2 linked regions of the Ovis aries genome follow. Each later gene encodes a partner of the first gene's protein in a complex. Links are inferred from orthologs where the notes say so. Each region holds a gene or a part of one and is shown on either strand. Other genes may lie near its edges.

Region 1 (9,854 bases):
AGGACTGGGACTGAGGCCATTCTCCAGCCCATGTCTAGCCCTTCAGATTGGGAACTCCTTGGGTCTTTGTGTTGTACCAGTGACATAGCTAAAGTTGCTGTCTTTTACCTTTTTTTTTTTTTAAAAACAGGAGAAGATTGGCTGGAGGAATGATGCCTCCCACTTGCTGGTGTTTACCACTGATGCCAAGACCCATATAGCGCTGGATGGAAGGCTGGCAGGCATCGTCCAGCCCAATGATGGGCAGTGTCATGTGGGCAATGACAACCATTATTCTGCCTCCACTACCATGGTGAGATTCTTTTTTCCACTTATGGTTCCTATTCACTGTGGCCAGGACTGCCCTAACTCAGGCAGAGTCTTTGTGTGAGTATGAAAATGACAGGCCTTCCTCTGGGGAAGATACAGGGCTCTTTGCAGCCTGTCTTCATCCAGGGTACAACCTGCACAACCATTAGAGATGGTCCTGGCTGGGGTCAGTGTTACTGCTACCTCCACTGCCTCTAGCACCAGCTGCAGCCTCATGGCATCCAGAATGGACCCAGAGGACTTTTACATGTTCAGCTGGAAAGCAGGGCCATCCTGTCACTGTGTACAGATTAGCCCCTTCTTGAAGCATCATGCTTTCTGTGGTTATTGGAAGAAGACAGAGGAAAAAGAGACAAAGACTGGCCAACCACGGCGAGCCAGTCCTGTAAGGAAAGGATAAAGGGCTTAGAGTCATTTAGCTGGAATACAAGGGCTAAAGGATGGTTTAGCTGATACATGAGAAGACTTTTTAAAGTTAAAAACTAAAAAAATTTTATTATTATTTTTTAATATGGAAAACCCTAAAAGATATTTTATTTATTTATTTGGCTGCATTGGGTCTCAGTTGCAGCACTTAGATCTTTGATTTTCATTGTGGCATATGAACTCTCAGTTGCAGCATGTGGGATCTTAGTTCCCTGACCAGGGATTGAACCCAGGGCCCCTGCATGGAGAGCCTGGAGTCTTAGCCACTGAGCCATCAGGGAAGTCCCAAGAAGACTTTTTTAAAAGCTATTATTTTTTTTGAGGTAACATTGGTTTATAACATGATATGTTTCATGACGTACATCAGTATCTTTCTACTTCTGCATACACTTCACCATGCTCACCACCCCAAATTTAGTTTCCATCTGTCACCATACAGTTGATCCTCTTTATCCATTTCATCCTCCTCCACCCCTTCCCCTCTGGTAACCACTACTCTGTTTGAGAAGACTTCTTAGAATTTGTTTTCTATGTCCACAGTAGGTAAAACAAAGGAAAGGATTTTACATGGAAATAAGAGAAATTGCAGTAAACCATAAAGAAAATGTACAGACCTGCAGAATACTGATACTCTGAGTATATAGGGGGAGATGGGAACTCTTCATTTCTTAAAGACAATATAGCAATTACTCCATCTAGGTGGCTTAAATGTACACCTGTGTAAGGGTAGGAACCTGAGTTTCATGATCTCATGAGCTCCCTGAAAGGTCTAGGATTCCAGAGATATGTTCATAATTCGTCAGCACTGCCTTTTTGGCTTGAGTTTTTGGTATCAGCAATATGCAGGTTGAGCACTACCAAGCAATGGGTGAGTCTATAGTGACTGACATTTAGTCTATGCAAGGCCTTGGGGCTTCCCTGGTGTCTCAGTGGTAAAGAACCTACCTGCAGTGCAGGAGACTCAGGAGACGTGGGTTCGATCCCTGGATTGGGAAGATCCCTTGGAGGAGAGTATGGCAACCCACTCCAGTATTCTTGCCTGGAGAATTCCATGGATGGAGGAGCCTGGCGGGCTACAGTCCATGGGGTGGCAAAGAATTAGACATAACTGAAGCGACTGAACACACACACACTAGGCATGCCCTTACTGGGGTTGGAGAATGTTAACAAGACTATATAATGCCCTGCTCTTAAAGAGTTTTTGGTTTAGTCAAGAAGATATGGTACCAATAACAGAAGGTGCATGATTAATGCTAATTAGGTGAAACATTTGATAAAGGCTTTAGGTATTCAAAAGAAGAAAGCTCATTGTGAATTGGGGTGGTCAAGGAAGGCCTCCTGGCAGAGGTGAGACCTGAGCTGGATCCTAAGGAAGGAGGGTTAACAAAAAGAAGTCCACTTCAGGTGGGAGAAAGACAGGGTTCCAGATAGTGGTGAGTGAAAAGGGGAGAGAGGTTGCATGATGACTGGAAAGGAAAGTTGAGATCACATGGCAGAGTACTGTGAGCACCAAGCCAAGGCATTTGTCAGGAGCCGCAAAACAGGAGTGGGCATCAAAACGACGAGGCCTGGCAGTACCTGGTCCAGGAAGCTGCTCCTTGGTGTGGCTGCTTCACATCTGAGTAGGAAGAAAGAGGTGTTTAGTTTTGATACTACAAGCCTGTATCTCTTCATCTATCCTGAGTTCACACCTGAGTTTGTGTTTGCTTCTCATTGTCATGGGGTGAAAAAGTTAAAGCCCCACCACTGTCTGGGCCATGGCTCCAATCAACCAAGTCCTAAAGTTTAGAATCCAGGGATGTATGTGAATAGACTTCTTACTTCTTAACTAATTCCCACATCCTCCCTTTTTACAGGATTATCCCTCCTTGGGGCTGATGACTGAGAAGCTATCCCAGAAAAACATCAATTTGATCTTTGCAGTGACTGAAAGTGTAGTCAATCTCTACCAGGTGACTATACCTTCGGGGCTTCCTGGAGTGGGAGTGGGGTCTGTGATGGGTGGACCTATCTCAGGGAACCAACCCAGACTACCTTTGGCCATGGTCCCCAATCAGGAAAGACCTGGGAGCTAATGATTACTTTTGGTGAACCTCTCTCCTCCAACCTTGAACCTACAAGGATGGGTGTATTGACGTTTGCAGAGGTGGAGGAGAGTAATTTAGTGGGAAGAGTGGTGTGAGAGGTTCTCTGTAATTTTTCTCAGGGCTGAAAAGCTGCTAGATATATTCCTGGCAGTGATAAGTAAAATATCCCATCCCTCCCTCAATTTTCTTTTCAAGACCCTCCATCTATTTGGGGAGGGCCTTTGGAGATCACCATCTTTATCAGTCATTCCTAGATATCTTTGTCTTCTTTTCTAGAACTATAGTGAGCTCATCCCAGGGACCACAGTGGGGGTTCTGTCTACTGATTCCAGCAATGTTCTCCAGCTCATTGTGGATGCTTATGGGGTAAGTGTCTTACACTGGGAATAGACCCGCTAAGAGTCCACTGCCCTTGGCATTACCCAGGAGGCCTCAGATTTGAGAGTCCTGGCAGCTAGTCCACCATGCAGCCTTGACTGCCTTCTTCTTGTGCTTCTAGAGGCTAGGCGATAGGCAGCACTGGGAGGAATGCAGCCTTCTGCAACAGAAGTGGCTCAGGAGGGGATGGAGGGAGCCGTAGGAACAACAGAGGAAATGCTTAGAGAAGGTGAAATGGAAAGAGACAATGGGGATGATGTTAAGGAGCAGGGCCCTGAAACTGGGAGTGGGTACAGACTGAGGGAGAGCTGGGCTCCAACAACAGAGGAAAGAGGGAGCTGAATTATGGGGAATGTGAGGCTGATGAAAACGTAGGTAGAAAGTGGTACTACTCAAGGCGACCAGTATCAGCACGCCTGCAGGAGGGCACAGCTGGTTTAGATTTTACCCAGACTCACCTAGACACAAGTGGAGAAAGAGCGAGAGCAGGTCTTGGGCTGGAAGGTTAGTGGGATACAGGCTCCTAAGGATGCTGTGGCAGCTGGCAGGTGGACCTCAGCATTTAGGGGGGTAGGTGAGTCCAGGACCACCTGGTGATTTTTGCTTGGGATGTAATTGGCCCCTACTTGTGTCCTCTCAGCCCGTTTTCTTGCCTTCTTTTGCCCTTTTTTGCTCAGAAAATCCGCTCTAAAGTAGAGCTGGAAGTGCGTGACCTCCCCGAGGAGCTGTCCTTATCCTTCAACGCCACATGTCTCAACAACGAAGTCATCCCAGGCCTGAAGTCTTGTGTTGGACTCAAGATTGGAGACACGGTGAGGTGGGCTGGACAGGGGCTGACGCTGGGGCACTCACCTTGGCTCGTGCCCTGGAACCTCTGTGGGCACCCACCCCTTCCTTCCCTGTACTTTCTTCCTGAACGTCCTTACAAGTCCGATGTAATGGAGCTGCCAGCCTTTGCCTCCGAGGCTTCTGTTGCCTAAACTTTCTCCGTTAAGTAACTTCCCTGTCAGGATTTTTAAAAAACTTGCACTTAGGTGACTATTTATGCACAGTCGATTGCAGATGATATTTCTTGCCTTCAGCCCCTTACTGGTCTCCACCCTCCTCTAAAGTAATGCCTTTCTTTGCTTCACAACGTAAATGGAAATGTCATCTGTAAATATTTATTGAGCCCTGACTTCGTGCCAGACATTGTCCTAGCTGCTGAAGATTTGGCAGCCAACAGAATAGGTGAAAATACCCACCATCATGGAATTTCAGAATGCAAACGTTCATTTTGCCTTCTTAGTCCCTCTGTGGCTTTCCTTCCCTAGTGGTTCGTTCTCCTCAGTTTCTGCCTTAGGGGAGAGGGATGGTGAAAGGGGTGGGAAGAAAAGAGGGGCTTATCTATAGTTGTATCATCCATGTCTGTATTATTTAATGTCTATATCTATCCCTCTTTCTGTCTACATTCTAGGCACATGTGCACACACCCTAGTAAGAAACGTTGGCCTGAAACATGTTTGATTGCACAAGTGATGAAATGTCATATGGAAATTGAACAGGGATCTCCCTGGTGGTCTGGTGGTTATCACCCTGGGCTTCCTCTGCAGGGCGCATGGTTTCCATCCCTGGTTGGGGAATTAAGATCTTGCATGCTGCAAGGCGGGACCAAAATAAATAAATAAAGAAAGAACAACAAAAACTATAAAGAAATTGAACAGTAGGTCTTGAGCCTGAGGTTGGCCACTATGTGACACTGTATAGGTTAGGGTTAGGGTTACCGTTGTTGCTGTTTAGTTGCTGTCATGTCTGATTCTTTTGTGGCCCCATTGACTGTAGCCCCACCAGACTCCTCTGTCCATAGGATTTTCCAGGCAAGAATACTGAAGCAGGTTGCCATTTCCTTCTCCAGGGGATCTTCTCCACCAAGGGACTGAACCCGTGTCTCTTTCATCTCCTATATTGGCAGGCAGATTCTTTACCACTGAGCCACCCGGGAAGCCCCAGGGTTACCATACAATGCCACAAAATAGTGCTTTGTGTACCTTGATATTATGTAATCAGCTAGTTTAGTTGGCCAAAGACAGAGTGTTTATAAGATCATAGGTTCTGCTCTGCATGAACTGGTTTATTTATTTTTTTTTTTAAAAGCTATCTCGTGATTATAAGCCATGTCTGCACCCAGCCAGCAGGTCACAATGGCACAACTGTCCCCAGGTCTTGCTTTGGCTTTGCAGACCCTGGTAGTGGCAAAGCTGAGGAACTTTGGCTTGCGGGGGACAGGACACCCAGTTTGAGTATTCCTGGGCAGGGCAGGGAACAGCTTCTTTCCCTCCAGTGCTGGAGTGTCAACAGGGTCCCCTGTGTCTGAACACGATCTTACTTTCCGTCCAGGTGAGCTTCAGCATTGAGGCCAAAGTGCGTGGCTGTCCCCAGAAGAAGGAGAAGTCCTTCACCATCAAGCCTGTGGGCTTCAAAGACAGCCTCACTGTGCAGGTCACTTTCGACTGTGACTGTGCCTGCCAGGCTGAGGCTGAGCCTTACAGCCACCGCTGCAACAATGGCAATGGGACCTTTGAGTGTGGGGTGTGCCGCTGTGGGCCTGGCTGGCTGGGGTCCCAGTGTGAGTGCTCGGAAGAGGACTACCGCCCCTCGCAACAGGACGAGTGCAGCCCCCGGGAGGGCCAGCCCATCTGCAGCCAGCGGGGCGAGTGTCTCTGTGGCCAGTGCGTCTGCCACAGCAGTGACTTTGGCAAGATCACCGGCAAGTACTGTGAGTGTGATGACTTCTCCTGTGTCCGCTACAAGGGGGAGATGTGCTCAGGTGAGTAGAATTGCACATGCCTTCCATCCTGGTACCCACACACACTCACGCATCTGCAGCCTCTGGAAATGGATGCAGGCTAGGGCTTGAGGTGGGCACAGGGTGGCTCAGGGACAGAGGGAGCTGATGGTGTTCCACTCCAAGGGCAGGAAATAGAAGCAAGGTTCTCTTTAATTCCCCTCAGCTCCCTCTGTCCTTTCACGAGGGACACAAGGAAGGAAATGAGTGTCTGCTTTCAGAGGGTGGGAAAGAGTGGGGAAAATTGAAAGTGAAGATAGTTTTTTTCTTTTCTCTCATTTGCCCTTCAGCTCACATTTTAAGTCACTGGTTTCTAATCTTTTTGAGGATATGAATCAACCCCTTTTTTAAATTAAAAAAGTTTTTTTTTTTTTTTGGCCATACCATGTGGTATCTTAGTTTAGTTCTTCGACTAGGGATCGAAACTTGCCCCCCGTCCCCCGCATTGGAAGAGTGGAGTCTTAACCACTGGACCACCAGGAAAGTCCTCCAACCCTTTTTCTCACTTTAAAAAAAAGTCACTGACTAATGCTAATTAGAATTTTAGTATACATAGGTTTGGAAACTACACGATGTCAGAATATGTAATGAAGTTAGTAATGATTATTTTACATGAATTTATATTTTCATCACGCAACATGTAGAAAACAAGTAGTGTCTTTGCAAGATATTGGAGCACATTTAATGAGCCAGTACACTTAGGAGAGTGACTGAAAAATAGTAAGTGTTGGTACTATTAAGTGTTGGTACTCTTATTAAGTGTTGGTACTATTTTATTATCACTGTTGGTATATTATTACTTTTTGTACTCTAGATCTCTACAGTCCAAAATGGTGGCTATTTAAATTTAAATGAATCAAGTTTAATGAAAGCTTAAGTACAAAGTTTAAATCAAATTAAATTTAAAAAGTTAGTTTCTGTGTTCCTCAGGAGCCATGTGTGGCTAGTTGCCACCGTATTGCACAGCACAGATGGTTTTTGGGGGTGCTGCCACAGACAGTCCCAGACTGCAGGCTGCCGCAGACAGTCCCAGACTGCAGGCTGCCGCAGACAGTCCCAGACTGCAGGCTGCCGCAGACAGTCCCAGACTGCAGGCTGGGGACTATGAGTTTGAATCCTTCTACCTGCAGGATGCTGAATTGTTGTCTACCTCATTACAAAATTCAGTAAAATCTTGAGGCCCATGATACTCTCAAGCTGGTTTCTGCTTACCCCAAAGCCCACTCCTGGGGTACTTCCCTAGCTAGAAGTCCAACTAAGTTAACATGATCCTTATCTGCAGACACGCTGACAACACTCCCAGAGGCAGTTAGGCAGTCTGAGTTGTTCCTGAGCACTAGGGATACATTTTTGCTGGGCTGTAGTCACTGTGGCTTAATCCCCATTGTGAGAGAGAGACTGAGGATATCTGCAGTTTGGTTGGGACCAGTTTGCAGTTGTATTGTGTGGCCATTGAACAGAGAGTATCCCTGGGTTCTGGGATGATCAAGCCTATGACCCAGATGGGCTTCGCTTGCGCTGGGGCTCTAACCAGCGGAGCTAATCTACCCAGGTGTTCACTTTAACATTGGCCTTGAGGAAATCTTGATGAGAAAGGTAAGTGTGTGTCATTCTAAAGCATACTCAAGTAATATTACCTACAACACTGTTTACTCAAGTCGACAAAATTTGAGAGACTGGAGAAAAATGGTATCAGAGAAAAGGAATACTGTTCCTAGAATGTTAAAATCTTCAATTTGTGGTAATATTTTATAGCATATGAGATTGATCAAATTAAATATCTTCTTATAACAAAAAATTGATATGAGAGAGATTAGGGGAAAGAGAGATCAGATATGCACGGGCACACAGACACAGCCAGCAATTTGAATTCAGGAGTGAGGCAAGAGTTTCGGTTCCTTTTCACAGGGGTCCCCAACATCCGGGATCTAATGCCCGATTATCTGAGGTGGAGCTGATGGATTAATAATAGAAATAAAGGGCAGAATAAATGGAATGCTCTTGAATCATCCCCAAACCATCCCCCCCAACCCCAGTCCATGGAAAAATTGTTTTCTGTGAAACCCATCCCTGGTGCTAAAATGGTTGGGGACTGCTGCCTTCTAATATTTAACAGTAATTTATGTTGTATCCAGGGCTCCCTGGTGGCTCAAACAGTAAAGAATCCATCTGCAAGGCGGGAGACTTGGGTTTGATCCCTGGGTTGGGAAGATCCCATGGAGGAGGGCATGGCAACCCACTCCGGTATTCTTGCCTGGAGAATCCCATGGACAGAGGAGCCTAGCGGGCTACAGACCACGGGCTTGCAAAGAGTCGGACACAACTGAGCGACTAAGCACACACACGTCATATTCAAGGCACCAAAGGGAATGGTTAAGTTTGACGTGGGAGACACATGAGGAGAAGGCTGGGACTGAGGGAAAAAAAGTTGCCCCTAGGAGAGGCTTACACACAGACCATGACGGCACCAGGGTGGGAGGGAGGCCCGCTGCTACTCTATGGGCTGATTGTTCCTGGTCTGATGTGGGGCATGTGGGAGGGATCCCAGCCAGAGTGTGTTTCCTTTGGCTGCCCGCCCCACTGAAGCCGCAGAACAAAGGCCCTGGGTCAGCAGCCCTTATTCCTGCCTCCCAGCCGCACAGGAACAGCTCGTCCCCGGTGAGCTCCAGCCCATCACACGAGGGAAGCCCAGGCAGCCACTGCAGCTCTGAGGCCTCCCTCTCCCTTCCTGCCAGGGTGTTGGGTGCCCGCCGGCCTCAGGTCTGGACCCTCTGTTGCCGTTATCACATCCTCCAGGGACACATGCTCGCTGAACACCTGCTCTGTGCCAGGCCCTCGGTCCACATGGGTGCAAAGGGGTCATGTGTGGTTCCTGACCTGGCGGGGCTTATAGCCCAGCTCATCCTTGTCCCTCCCTGCCTAGAGCTGCTGGCCTGGTCTGTTCTTTGCTCAAGCAGGGGCTCGGGAGTGCAATGACTTGGCCATGGTCCCAGCCCCTGGCTGTCCCTGTCCCCTCCTCCCCACTGGAGGCATGGTCTTTGTGGTTGCATGGTATCAGCACCCCTCAAACCTCAGGGCGTGGGCATCCTTGTCCTCAAGGGATTCTTCCCCTGTCACATCAAGGTTTTTTCCCAGAAACTGTCCTCAAGCAGGATACATTATTGATATATAATCCTAAAGAATGTAGAGGGAAAAAAAGTTTGTCCTTTCCTCCTCCTTGAGAATCCCAGATCCCCGTCTCCTTGGGGACCCCCGGACTTCTTATCAACCTGCCTAGGAATCGACTCACGTGAACACTGATCAGGCGCCCATGTGAGCCAGGTTCTGTGCTGTGTGCCATAGTGTTGTGGGACAGAGAGGCATGAATAAGGGACTTCCTTGGTGGTTCAGTTGCTAAGATTCCAAACTCCCAATGCAGGGCGACCCGGGTTCGATCCCTGGTCAGGGAACTAGATCTTGCAGGCCGCAACTAAGAGTCTTCATGCCGCGACTATGACCTGGCACAGCCAAAAAAAGAAAAAGAGAGAGAGAAGCATGAATAAGACAGTTTTGTCATAAACTTATCCAAGGAGAATTCACAGCACAAGGCAGAACCTGCTAGATCCCAGAAGTGAAGTGTCCTCAGTGAGTGTTATAGAGAGACTCACTGTGGACAGGGGAGCCCTGGGGGGCTTCATGGAGAAGGTGGGAAGTCAGAGAAAGGGCTGGCCCATAGAGGAGGGCAGTGGAGTGATGTGTCAGCCCAGAAGGTCAAACTGTATGGGGGAGTGGCTGCCTGACCTCTGTCCTGAGACCCCTGCTCCTCCCTTTCCTTCCCCTCCCCCACACCT
Region 2 (9,854 bases), on another chromosome or scaffold:
ACATTTTTCTTCTTAGGTGACCCACTCCTCTACCCCGGAACCCCTCTCCCGGGACCCTACTTCCGGTCTTCATTTACAAGTCCCGCCCTCTGCGACCCCCTCCCCGGAAGTCCCACCTCCCAACTTCAGGGGGCTCTCCGAACCCCGACTTATATTCCATTTACTGTCCCCAATCCTACCCTGTCGTCCAGCTTTCCTGGAAGTCCCACCCCCAGACATGCTTCCAAACCCCTGCATTAGTCCTTCCGATTCCCCGAAACCCCGCCTTCTCGAGACTATTCTCCGTTAACCCCTGTCTATCAAAAGCCTAACTCCCAAAAGGGCAGAACCCTGCTACTCAAAGAACTATTCGAATTCGTGAGGCCACGCCTCCCTAAGGGTTCCGCCCCTTTAGAAGCCTCGCCCCTTCCTTAATCCACGTCGGATCGTCCAGAAGCCTCGCCTCCTGGGAGTCTCTGGTGCACGCGTCTTGAGGGGCCACGCCCCTTCAGGAGCGTTATCCCGGTTGGACCCTTGTCATCGCCTCAGGAGCTTTGTCTTCAATCCCAGAAACTTCACCTGCTTGCGCTTCCTCGTTCCTTTTCTCTTTGGGGCCCTTGGCTCAGTTTTCCTGAGCTCTTAGGCTCCACTGGATAGGGTCAAAAGTTCACATCTCTGACTCTGTGGAGTAAGAGATTAGAGGCAGCCCTTTCCCTCTCCCTTAGCCCCTTCCAAGGGTGGACCTACTTGAAGGGGGCTGGACTTGGGGTTTGGCACGAGAGTGGGAGGGAGACTTGCTCACAGATTCCCTGCCCCACTCCCTGAGTTTCCCTTCCCAGGACCGACTCCACCCCAGAAACAGCTGTTTGTCTCATACCTGTACGACGGGAGCTGGGTAGGGCCGTGGATTTGTCGATGTGTGACATGTGGGTGTGACAGAAGAGAAAGTTTTCTACCACCTGAAGACGGTGGCTTGGAATGGGTGTAGGTAACAGTGTCCTTTTTGATGTTTGATTTTTTTTTTTTAAGGGACTCTTCAGGCCCCACCACTTCTCTGGCTCTTCCCCTCCCCCAGACAGAGTTCTAGTCTGGGCATTTCTCCTGGTCCTGCTTGCCCAGCCTTCCCTGCTGGAAACATTCCTGAGGCTTTCGCCATTTCCTGCTACTTTCCGCCTCTCTTGCCTCCTCCTCCCTGCTGAGCTGAGAAGCCACATGCAGCTTCTTCCCCACACCCAGTCGTTCAGATTCCCAGTAGCAATCCCCTTTCTTCCTTCAGATTGCCAATAGCAATCTCCTTTCTTCCTCCGTAAATTTAAAGAGCCCTACTTCCTCTTTCTTTTCTAAACATGCCCACACCTGTAGGTCATCCCTTGTCTCTGGATTCTGCAGGCACCCACAGAATGCTCACCTCTAAAGATAGGATATCCTGGTGTGTGCTTGTGTGTGTGTGGGGGGTGGGGGGCGGTGAGGCTTTGGCAGAATACTTTCCTCTTTCTCTGTTTCTGAGTGCTGAGGCCTTAGGAAACAGTGATAGGTTTTCTTCTCAGGAGTGGTGCATGGGGTGGTAAAGCTCTCCTGGGTTCAGGACTACGGGGGCGGTGGTAAGCACAGTATCTAACATGTTTTCATTGTCAGGATTGTTAATCACTGTAATCACAATAATTTGCATTTTTTTAATATTCTGAAGTAAATTTAAAGATAGGTAATTCCGAGGTGAGCCTGCTGAGGGTATATGTATCTTTTACTACTACTTCTATTTGGTTGCTTTCCAACTTCCCCTGTGGCCTCCTGGAGCAGAGCTGTGGCAGGATGCTGTGGGTGGGAGGAATGAGTTTGGGACTGTTCCCTGTGTCCAGCCTCAGTCCTCTTCTGGCACCCCTTTCTCATGAGCACAGATTTGACTTCTGCGCCTCTGTCCCTTCCTGGCCACTTCTCTTGGACAGCCGTTGCACTGCCCCATCTCCTGTGGTCAGACTCTTTCCTTGATATGAGGGGTATCATGCTCCTTGGTGGATACCTGCCCTCTCTCTGGTCACTACTAAAAAGGAGGGGTATGTGTTCACCTGGAGGTCTAGGGATCTGACCTTAGTGTCAATGCCCTGGCCACCCCTCACCCCTTCTGCCCTTGACAGCTTACTTTCCTGTGGAAGAGGGGGGCAGAAGAGTATTTGGCTTGGGCCTCTGCTCCTTGGCATGGTAGGCGCCATGCATGGAGAACAAGCCTCCACCAAACTGTCCTCTGCTCCAGCTCCTGCCCGGTGGCTCCCTGATGTGCCACCCAGCTTGGACTTTATTCCTCTTACTTTAACAGCTTTGCCTTTCCTCTTGGCCCCTCCCTGCATCCACTGGGACCATGTCCTTCTTTTTCCCATTTCTTTAGCTCCCTCCACAGCTGTGATAGCCAAGGAGGCTAATGGCTCAGGCTCCCTAGGGCCACCACCCCTCTGTGGGGCAGTGGTGGGGGGGCGCTGGGGCTGGAGGCTGAGGGAATTTGAGTGTTCAACCAGGACAGGAAGGGAATTGCTGAGCTCAGGGATCCCCTCCCTTTCCCACCCCCAGCTGCCTCTGTTTCCTCCCTCAACCTCCTCCTCGCCCGCCGCCCCCCCCCCCCCCCCCCCCCCCCCCCCGGCCCCACCGGTCCCTCAGCTTCCTGCTCTCTTTGGCCTGCCCTTGTCCGGTCTGGATTGATCCAGACCTCCTCTTATCGCCCTCCTTTCCTTCTCACTCCTCCATCCTCCCCCAGCCCCCACTTTACTCCTCCCCCAGTTACTTGTTTGTATGGTAGGGTGGGGGAACCAGGCAGGGGGACATGGATCCCTCTGCCCTGCGAGAGTTCTGGGTTGGGGCAGTGTTGGGGGCTCAGCCCCTCAGAGCCTGTGAGTCAGCACTGTCCTTGGGATTGGTCTCTCCCCTTAGCTCCCCGCCCCTGGGGAGGAGCTAGGCAGCTCTAGGTCCAGCCTGTTCTGTTCTCAGCCTGAGAAGAGGCTCCAGGCTGGGCGGGGATGGGGCCTGAAACTGTCTGGGTCTGAGCCGGGGAAGCCAGAGCTACTTGTCCCTCTCCCTCTCCAGGACCCTTGAGATCCCTGGGCCATAGAGGTCCGATCAGGCTAAGGGCCTGGGATGCCCCCTGCCTGGCCCCCTTGCCCTGACTGGCAGGGGGGCCAGGCTGGGTAGCAGCCTCCCTTTCACCCCAGCCATGGATCTCCTGCCCCCCAAGCCCAAGTACAACCCACTTCGGAATGAGTCTCTGTCGTCGCTGGAGGAGGGGGCCTCAGGGTCCACCCCACCGGAGGAGCTGCCGTCCCCATCAGCCTCGTCCCTGGGGCCCGTGCTGCCACCTGTGCCTGGGGACGATAGCCCCACCACCCTGTGCTCCTTCTTCCCCCGGATGAGCAGCCTGAAGCTGGCCAGCCCAGCTGGGGGGCGCCCAGGCCCGAAAGGGGAGCCAGGAAGGGCAAACGAGGACGGGGAGGGGGTCGCAGGGGCAGTCATGCTGGACTCAGGCCCCCTGCCCCTCCTCCAGGACATGAACAAGCTGAGTGGAGGCGGCGGGCGCAGGACTCGGGTGGAAGGGGGCCAGCTGGGGGGCGAGGAGTGGACTCGCCACGGGAGCTTTGTCAATAAGCCCACACGGGGCTGGCTGCATCCCAACGACAAAGTCATGGGACCCGGGGTTTCCTACTTGGTTCGGGTGAGTGAACATCCTCTCCCTCCCACTCCCTCCCGGACCCCTCCAGTTCCTCTGCTTACTAATCTCTTTCTCCCCCCCTGCTCTTCCCCAGCAACTCCCTTGGTTTCGGTGTCCTGTTTCTTAAACCTTTCTTGCCCCTTCTCCAATTCTCTCACCTCTTCCCTTCCAGCTCTGTCTGGGGCCCCTTCCTTCTGGTAACTCCCCTACCCCCACCCCGCCATGCTTAGCACAAAGCCCAGCACAAGCCCTTAGTAAGTGTTGGAATGAGTGACTCTTGACTATCCCCTCCAGTCTCCTCCCCGCTTTCTGGAGATGTCACTCCATCCCACCCGATGCCCGTCACGCCTTCCCATAGGCATGCGGTCCGCCTAGCTTGCCCTTCTCTCTTTGCCCCTCTTGTCCTGCATGTTGTGGGGTATATCCGTGGGCAGTGGCAGAACTTCTTCATCCTGACTTCCCTGAGGGACCAAGGAAGGAGAAGTCCCAGGGCCCTTTGTGAAGAGGGGGGAGGTGGCTTACCGGTGTCCCCTGTCCCTCCCCTCAGTACATGGGCTGTGTGGAGGTCCTGCAGTCTATGCGCGCCCTTGACTTCAACACCCGGACTCAGGTCACCAGGTCAGTGGGGCTTGGGGGAGGGGCAGTCCCAGGATTCATGAGAGGTGGGGAGAATGGGCCACTTGGTGGTGCTAGTGATGGTTTATCTTTAGGTGGTAAAGGGGGTTGAGAGAAAGTTAGGGAAGTGAGTCTAAGTCTTAATGTAAAGGGGCAACTCTGCCCTGGCTCCTTATTATCCAGCCCAGGGAGTTGTGGGGGAGGTGGGCAGAGGCAGCTAGCAGCTAGAGCTGGAGTGGAAAATGGGGGTAGCTGGAAGGTTGCTGCTGCCTTTGGGAAGGGGATGGGACATTTGGTAGCTAGAAGGGGGTGGGGCCAGACCCATTGAGGCCCTAACCCAATCAGCCAGGAAGCGGCCTCTCAGTGTCATCAAATATTAAAGGCCCTTAATTCAATCCACCACGACAAAGAGCCTGGAGTGCCCCTGGAGTCTGGCCTGGCCTTCCCCTCCCCCAGCCCTGTGGCGGCCCCAGCCGAGTGGGAGGCAGGCTCTGGGTCTGAGTATTCCTCTTTCCCCAGGGAGGCCATCAGTCTGGTGTGTGAGGCTGTGCCGGGTGCTAAGGGGGCAACAAGGAGGAGAAAGGTACCCGGGGTCTGTGGGGCTAGGGATGCTGGGAGATGTGGAGGAGCAGGGGGAAGGCTAGTGTGGGGCAGGTGGGGAGAAGTCCAGAAGGCAGGAGTGTGGGGGTTTCCTGGTGTGGGGGACCCCCCAGCTTCTGAGACCCGTGGGCCCTTCCCTAGCCCTGTAGCCGTCCACTCAGCTCCATTCTGGGGAGGAGTAACCTGAAATTTGCTGGAATGCCAATCACTCTGACCGTCTCCACCAGCAGCCTCAACCTCATGGCCGCAGACTGCAAACAGGTTGGTGGGGTGAGGCGGCGGGGGTGGGGTGGGCAGAAACATCGATGGGAGGGCTAAATGGGAACTTGGTTATGAGGGTAAGACACTGGGAGAGAAGGCTTGGGAGCAGTGGAACAGTAGGGAAGGAGCAGATTAAGAGAACATGCGTTGAGAAGCCAAAAGGATGAGACTGGGACGCCAGGGTCTTGAGCCAGTGGTGGGCGGTGCCCAGTAGACTCTGAGGCTGCCTGATGCCCATCATTCCCTTCCTTCTCCATCCTCTGCCCTAACCCTCAGATCATTGCCAACCACCACATGCAGTCCATCTCGTTTGCATCCGGCGGGGACCCGGTGAGTTGGGGAATGGAGCTTAGGTGGTGGGAGGAGAGTAGGGGGCTAGGGATTGGGAGGACACTGGCAAGAGAAGTGAGCCCGCTAGGATTGCGGCAGTGTCTGAGAAAGGGGCCTGAAGGGGTCAGGAGTAGGGTGGGGCTATACAGTTTAGCTAACTGGCCTCTTCTGCCTCTGTCCACCCCAGGACACAGCCGAGTATGTTGCCTATGTTGCCAAAGACCCAGTGAATCAGAGAGGTGAGGTGTGGATGGGGAGCACTGGGTGGGGCTGGCTGTCCAAGGGGCAGGTGAGCAGGACCCGGGGGCTCCTCCTGCCGAGGGCCCCTCCTGCCGAGGGCCCCGTCTGTGCCTCCTCCCAGCCCCACAGTCCCCCCGCCGCCCAGCTCCCTAACAGCCTCTGCTGCACCCCCAGCCTGCCACATCCTGGAGTGTCCCGAAGGGCTTGCTCAGGACGTCATCAGCACCATTGGCCAGGCCTTCGAGCTGCGCTTCAAACAGTACCTCAGGAACCCACCCAGGCTCGTCACCCCCCACGACAGGTGCGCGGGTGAGGCAGGTGGGGGCGGGGGGCAGCCCACTCCCGGGGGCCCCAGACCAGAACTGGAAAAGGAGGCCTGCTCTTCCACAGTCCAGCTCAGAAAAGGGCAGGGAAGGAAATAACCTGCGTGCCCCTGCTTCCTGCTATTCTTAAGTTTCCTGTGGCCGGCAGGAAGGTGCTCCGTGGCCCTGCCCGCTGCAGGGCCAGCTTTTCCCGTCGGGCGCCCGTGGCGGGGCTGCAGTGCAGGACGTCCAGCTTGTCCCTGGCTAGACGGGCTTCTCTTTTCCCAGCCGTCTCGTTTCTGGTCTGTCTTTTTGTGCTTCTGTCCATACGTAGTTTAGTTCTTCACGTTCTTGCCTCTAGAAGCCATCAAGAATTTGGGCAAGGGAGGATGGCTCTTTCCTGAGATGGTCACGTTTCCCACCTCAGACCAGTAGGATCGAGTATTTAGAGGAGGGGTTGGGATATTCTAGGGCACCCCCTCCCTGGTTACTTGGTGTCTCCCCTCCCTCTTGGGAGACCGCGTGACGATCAAGGGCATGACGTTAAGGCAAACTCTGAATTGACACTCGGCTCCACCAGTAGCGGTGGTGGTTCAGTCGCTAAGTCATGTCCAGCTCTTTGCGACCCCATGGACTGCAACACGCCAGGCCTCCCTGTCCTCCACTATCTCCCAAGGTTTGCTCAAACTCGTATCCATTGAGTCGGTGATGCCGTCTGACCATTTCTTAGTTGTGTGACCAAAATCTTTTTATCCCTGATCATCATTTTCCTCAACTAAAAAACTGGAGAAGGAAACAGTATGTGCTTTATCGGTTGCCCAGAGAGTGAAATGATTATACGTGAAACACCCATCCTCAGGCCTACCCCTCAGGGAATGCCCCATACGTGACCACTGTTCCGTTCTCCCTCCGTCCTCCCATCCACACTCCTTTCTCCCTCCTGTCTCTCTCAGGATGGCTGGCTTTGATGGCTCAGCTTGGGATGAGGAGGAGGAAGAGCCCCCTGACCATCAGTACTATAATGACTTCCCGGGGAAGGAACCACCTCTCGGGGGTGTGGTGGACATGAGGCTTCGGGAAGGAGCCCTCCCAGGGGCTGCTCGACCCACTCCACCCAGTGCCCAGACCCCCAGCCACCTGGGAGCCACGCTGGTATGTTGCTTGGATGGAGGCGGGTGGGGCTTGGATGGGAGCAGCTGGTTAGGGCCTCTGGTTTCACTCTGTCTTGGTCCCTGCAGCCTGTGGGGCAGCCTGCTGGGGGAGACCCAGAAGCCCGCAGACAGATACCGCCCCCGCCACCCTGCTCAGGTATGAAGGGGACTGAGGGGCAGAGGGGAGTGAGAAGCAGGGCGGGGCCCCTCTAAAGCCTCCGTTTTCTCAGCAGGCAGAGAGCTCTTTGATGACCCCTCGTACGTCAATGTCCAGAACCTAGACAAGGCCCGGCAAGCAGGGGCCGGGGCCGGGCCCCCCAATCCTGCCATCAATGGTAGTGCACCCCGAGACCTCTTTGATATGAGTAAGTGTGCCTCTCGCCTTTCTGTGTCTCCATCTTCTCACTTGATTCCTCCTCTTTTCCTGCCTCTCTGCTTTTTGCTTCCTGGCCTCCCCTCCCTAAAGGTCTAGGTCCTGAGCATAGGGTTGTGTCAGCTGCCTCTCCTAGCCCTCTCTCTGTATCCCCAGAGCCCTTTGAAGATGCCTTGCGAATGCCTCCACCTCCCCAGTCAACAGCCATGGCTGAGCAGCTCCGAGGGGAGCCCTGGTTCCACGGGAAGCTGAGCCGGCGCGAGGCTGAGGCACTGCTACAAGTCAACGGGGACTTCCTGGTGCGGGAAAGCACGACCACGCCGGGCCAGTACGTGCTCACCGGCCTGCAGAGTGGGCAGCCCAAGCACCTGCTCCTGGTGGACCCTGAGGGAGTGGTGAGTGTGGCAGGGGTGTAGGTGGGCATGGCAGAAAGGAAGGTGCAGTCCCCTACCTGTGGCTCTGCTCCTGCCTCACTGCTTCCTAGACTTTGTCTGCTGGGCACCTCTGTCTGGGCCTCCCCTGTTCCCAGGTGTCTGGCATCTCCTTCGTCTAGTGGTTTAGAGTTCCTTCCCTTCTCACATCCCTCACCTGAGCTGTATTCCCTTCAGTCCTTGCCAGTCCCCAAACGTTGTGCCCTTGAGAGCTAGAAAGTGGTCATCTCACTAGTCCCTCTTTTGACAAATAAGGAAACCATCCGCCAGAATTGTAGTGCTCTATGTCAGATGTCTAGAGGCGAAATATCCTGAAACTTTTCACAAGAGGAGCCAGGGGCCTCCCCAGCTCCTGCAGACTCAGGAGTCAGACCAGAGCCCTGTCTCCTGTCTGCGCCGCCCGCTGCCCCTCATGACTTCACTCTTGTTTCTGCAGCAGTCTCAGCCTCCTTTGCATGTCTTTTTGTGTCCTGTGTATCCTCTTCTTGGACATACCGCCCTCCTCCAGGTCAGGGAAGGAGTAGCTAGCCTTCAGTTTCACGACTTCTGGGCTCATGTCTGTTCTGCCTTTTCCCAGTTCACTGACTTGCCCATTCCCACATCTGTCTCCAGCTTCTCTTCCCAGAGAAGCCTCAGTGATCAGAACTGAGAGCCCTCCCTCTCCTGCCATCTTTTTCTCCTGCCTCAACCCTCTTGACTATCCCAGCTTCCTCGGCCTTGGAGACTGAGATTTTATCTGACTCTTCACCTGAATCTCCTTTCTCTGTTCCCACTCCCCAGGTTCGGACAAAGGATCACCGCTTTGAGAGTGTCAGTCACCTCATCAGCTACCACATGGACAATCACTTGCCCATCATCTCTGCGGGCAGCGAACTGTGTCTCCAGCAGCCTGTGGAGCGGAAACTGTGACCTGTTCCAGTGCTCTCTCTCAGAAGACGGCCTGCGGTCCCTTCCACCCTATTCCCTGACTCTTTGGACCTCACTTGGGAGTGTTCGTGGGCTTGGCCTTGTGTAGGACTGGGGATACTGTGGACACTGGGTTCAGCATGCAGCTGAGTGAGAGGGTTTGAGTCAGGAACCAGGGGTAGAGTCCTGCTTCTCCCCAAACCTCACCAAAGTATTAATGTACAGAGTGGCCCCCTTCCCTGGGCCTTTCCTGTGCCAACTTGATACCCTTTTCCCCAAGGTGGGTGCTGGAGGCCTGGGCAGGATGCTTCCTGGTAATGGAAGATGTTCTGTGGTGATAGGCCCAGTGGAGTAATCACCCTTTCAGGGAAGGGGAACTGAATCATACCTTTAGTCTACCCCTGGGCTCAGGGTACCCCAGACTCCTCAACAACCCTCCCTCCCAGCATTCAAATTTTGTGCCTTTGACCATCTCCTAGGTCTGAAGATATTTTATGCAAAGAGTTCTTGGGCCCCTGAAGTCAAGGATGGGGGTGCTGACAGCTTCTTGGCTTCTGGGACCCCGTCCTCTCCTCGCTCAGCACCTCCTCCAGTTTAGGTTGGGCCAGCAGAGGCAGGAGTAGCAGCTGTCCCCTCTCCCTGGGATGTGCAGCCCTTAGAGACTGCCGCGGCACCCTGCTCTCAGCCAGTGGGGAGATGGACCCCTCCCTTGCTCAGTGCCTCCTGGCTGGGGCCCCTCACCCAGGGCTCTGTATATACATTTCGTAAGCCACCCCCCCCCCCCACCATGTTGCATGCATGTTATACTCTACAGCCAAAGTACAGCCCTTCTTCCTGGCCTCTGCCCTGCCTCCCCCTGCAGGGGTGGTGAGGGGGGTGACGGAGCTGCCATCCCAGCTGGATTTGGTCGAGGTGGGAACAGGGGCATTGAGACTTTAAAGCAGTAGACAATCCCCAGATACCATTGGTAGGTTTGGA

Evidence for each region. Proteins that work in one complex are often made in the same cells at the same time.
Region 2: the proteins of ITGB3 (region 1) and SHC1 are in contact, whole or in part, in an NMR structure (PDB 2L1C), measured with the Homo sapiens proteins. The link is inferred for Ovis aries from reciprocal best matches to the Homo sapiens genes ITGB3 and SHC1. Residues at the interface, in NP_000203.2 of Homo sapiens: Trp765, Asp766, Thr767, Ala768, Pro771, Leu772, Tyr773, Lys774, Glu775, Ala776, Thr777, Ser778, Thr779, Phe780, Thr781, Asn782, Ile783, Thr784, Tyr785, Arg786, Gly787, Thr788; in NP_892113.4 of Homo sapiens: Ser175, Met176, Arg177, Asn182, Arg184, Thr185, Gln186, Thr188, Arg189, Glu190, Ser193, Leu194, Arg208, Arg209, Lys210, Arg214, Pro215, Leu216, Ser217, Ile219, Met257, Gln258, Ser259, Ile260, Ser261, Phe262, Ala263, Ser264, Gly265, Pro268.

Annotation. Positions count from the first base shown.
Region 1 is NC_056064.1:46,088,279-46,098,132, forward strand, and holds part of ITGB3 (integrin beta-3), read left to right. Parts: intron 1-130; coding exon 131-292; intron 293-2,591; coding exon 2,592-2,687; intron 2,688-3,098; coding exon 3,099-3,188; intron 3,189-3,877; coding exon 3,878-4,012; intron 4,013-5,576; coding exon 5,577-6,006; intron 6,007-9,854. UniProt on the Homo sapiens protein: Integrin alpha-V/beta-3 (ITGAV:ITGB3) is a receptor for cytotactin, fibronectin, laminin, matrix metalloproteinase-2, osteopontin, osteomodulin, prothrombin, thrombospondin, vitronectin and von Willebrand factor.
Region 2 is NC_056054.1:105,187,768-105,197,621, reverse strand, and holds part of SHC1 (SHC-transforming protein 1), read left to right. Parts: exon of another isoform or gene 1-957; coding exon of another isoform or gene 958-963; exon of another isoform or gene 964-967; intron 968-1,008; 5' UTR 1,009-3,175; coding exon 3,176-3,670; intron 3,671-4,214; coding exon 4,215-4,285; intron 4,286-4,801; coding exon 4,802-4,865; intron 4,866-5,023; coding exon 5,024-5,143; intron 5,144-5,419; coding exon 5,420-5,473; intron 5,474-5,660; coding exon 5,661-5,712; intron 5,713-5,887; coding exon 5,888-6,014; intron 6,015-6,968; coding exon 6,969-7,167; intron 7,168-7,253; coding exon 7,254-7,323; intron 7,324-7,396; coding exon 7,397-7,531; intron 7,532-7,695; coding exon 7,696-7,934; intron 7,935-8,750; coding exon 8,751-8,879; 3' UTR 8,880-9,854. UniProt on the Homo sapiens protein: Signaling adapter that couples activated growth factor receptors to signaling pathways. Participates in a signaling cascade initiated by activated KIT and KITLG/SCF.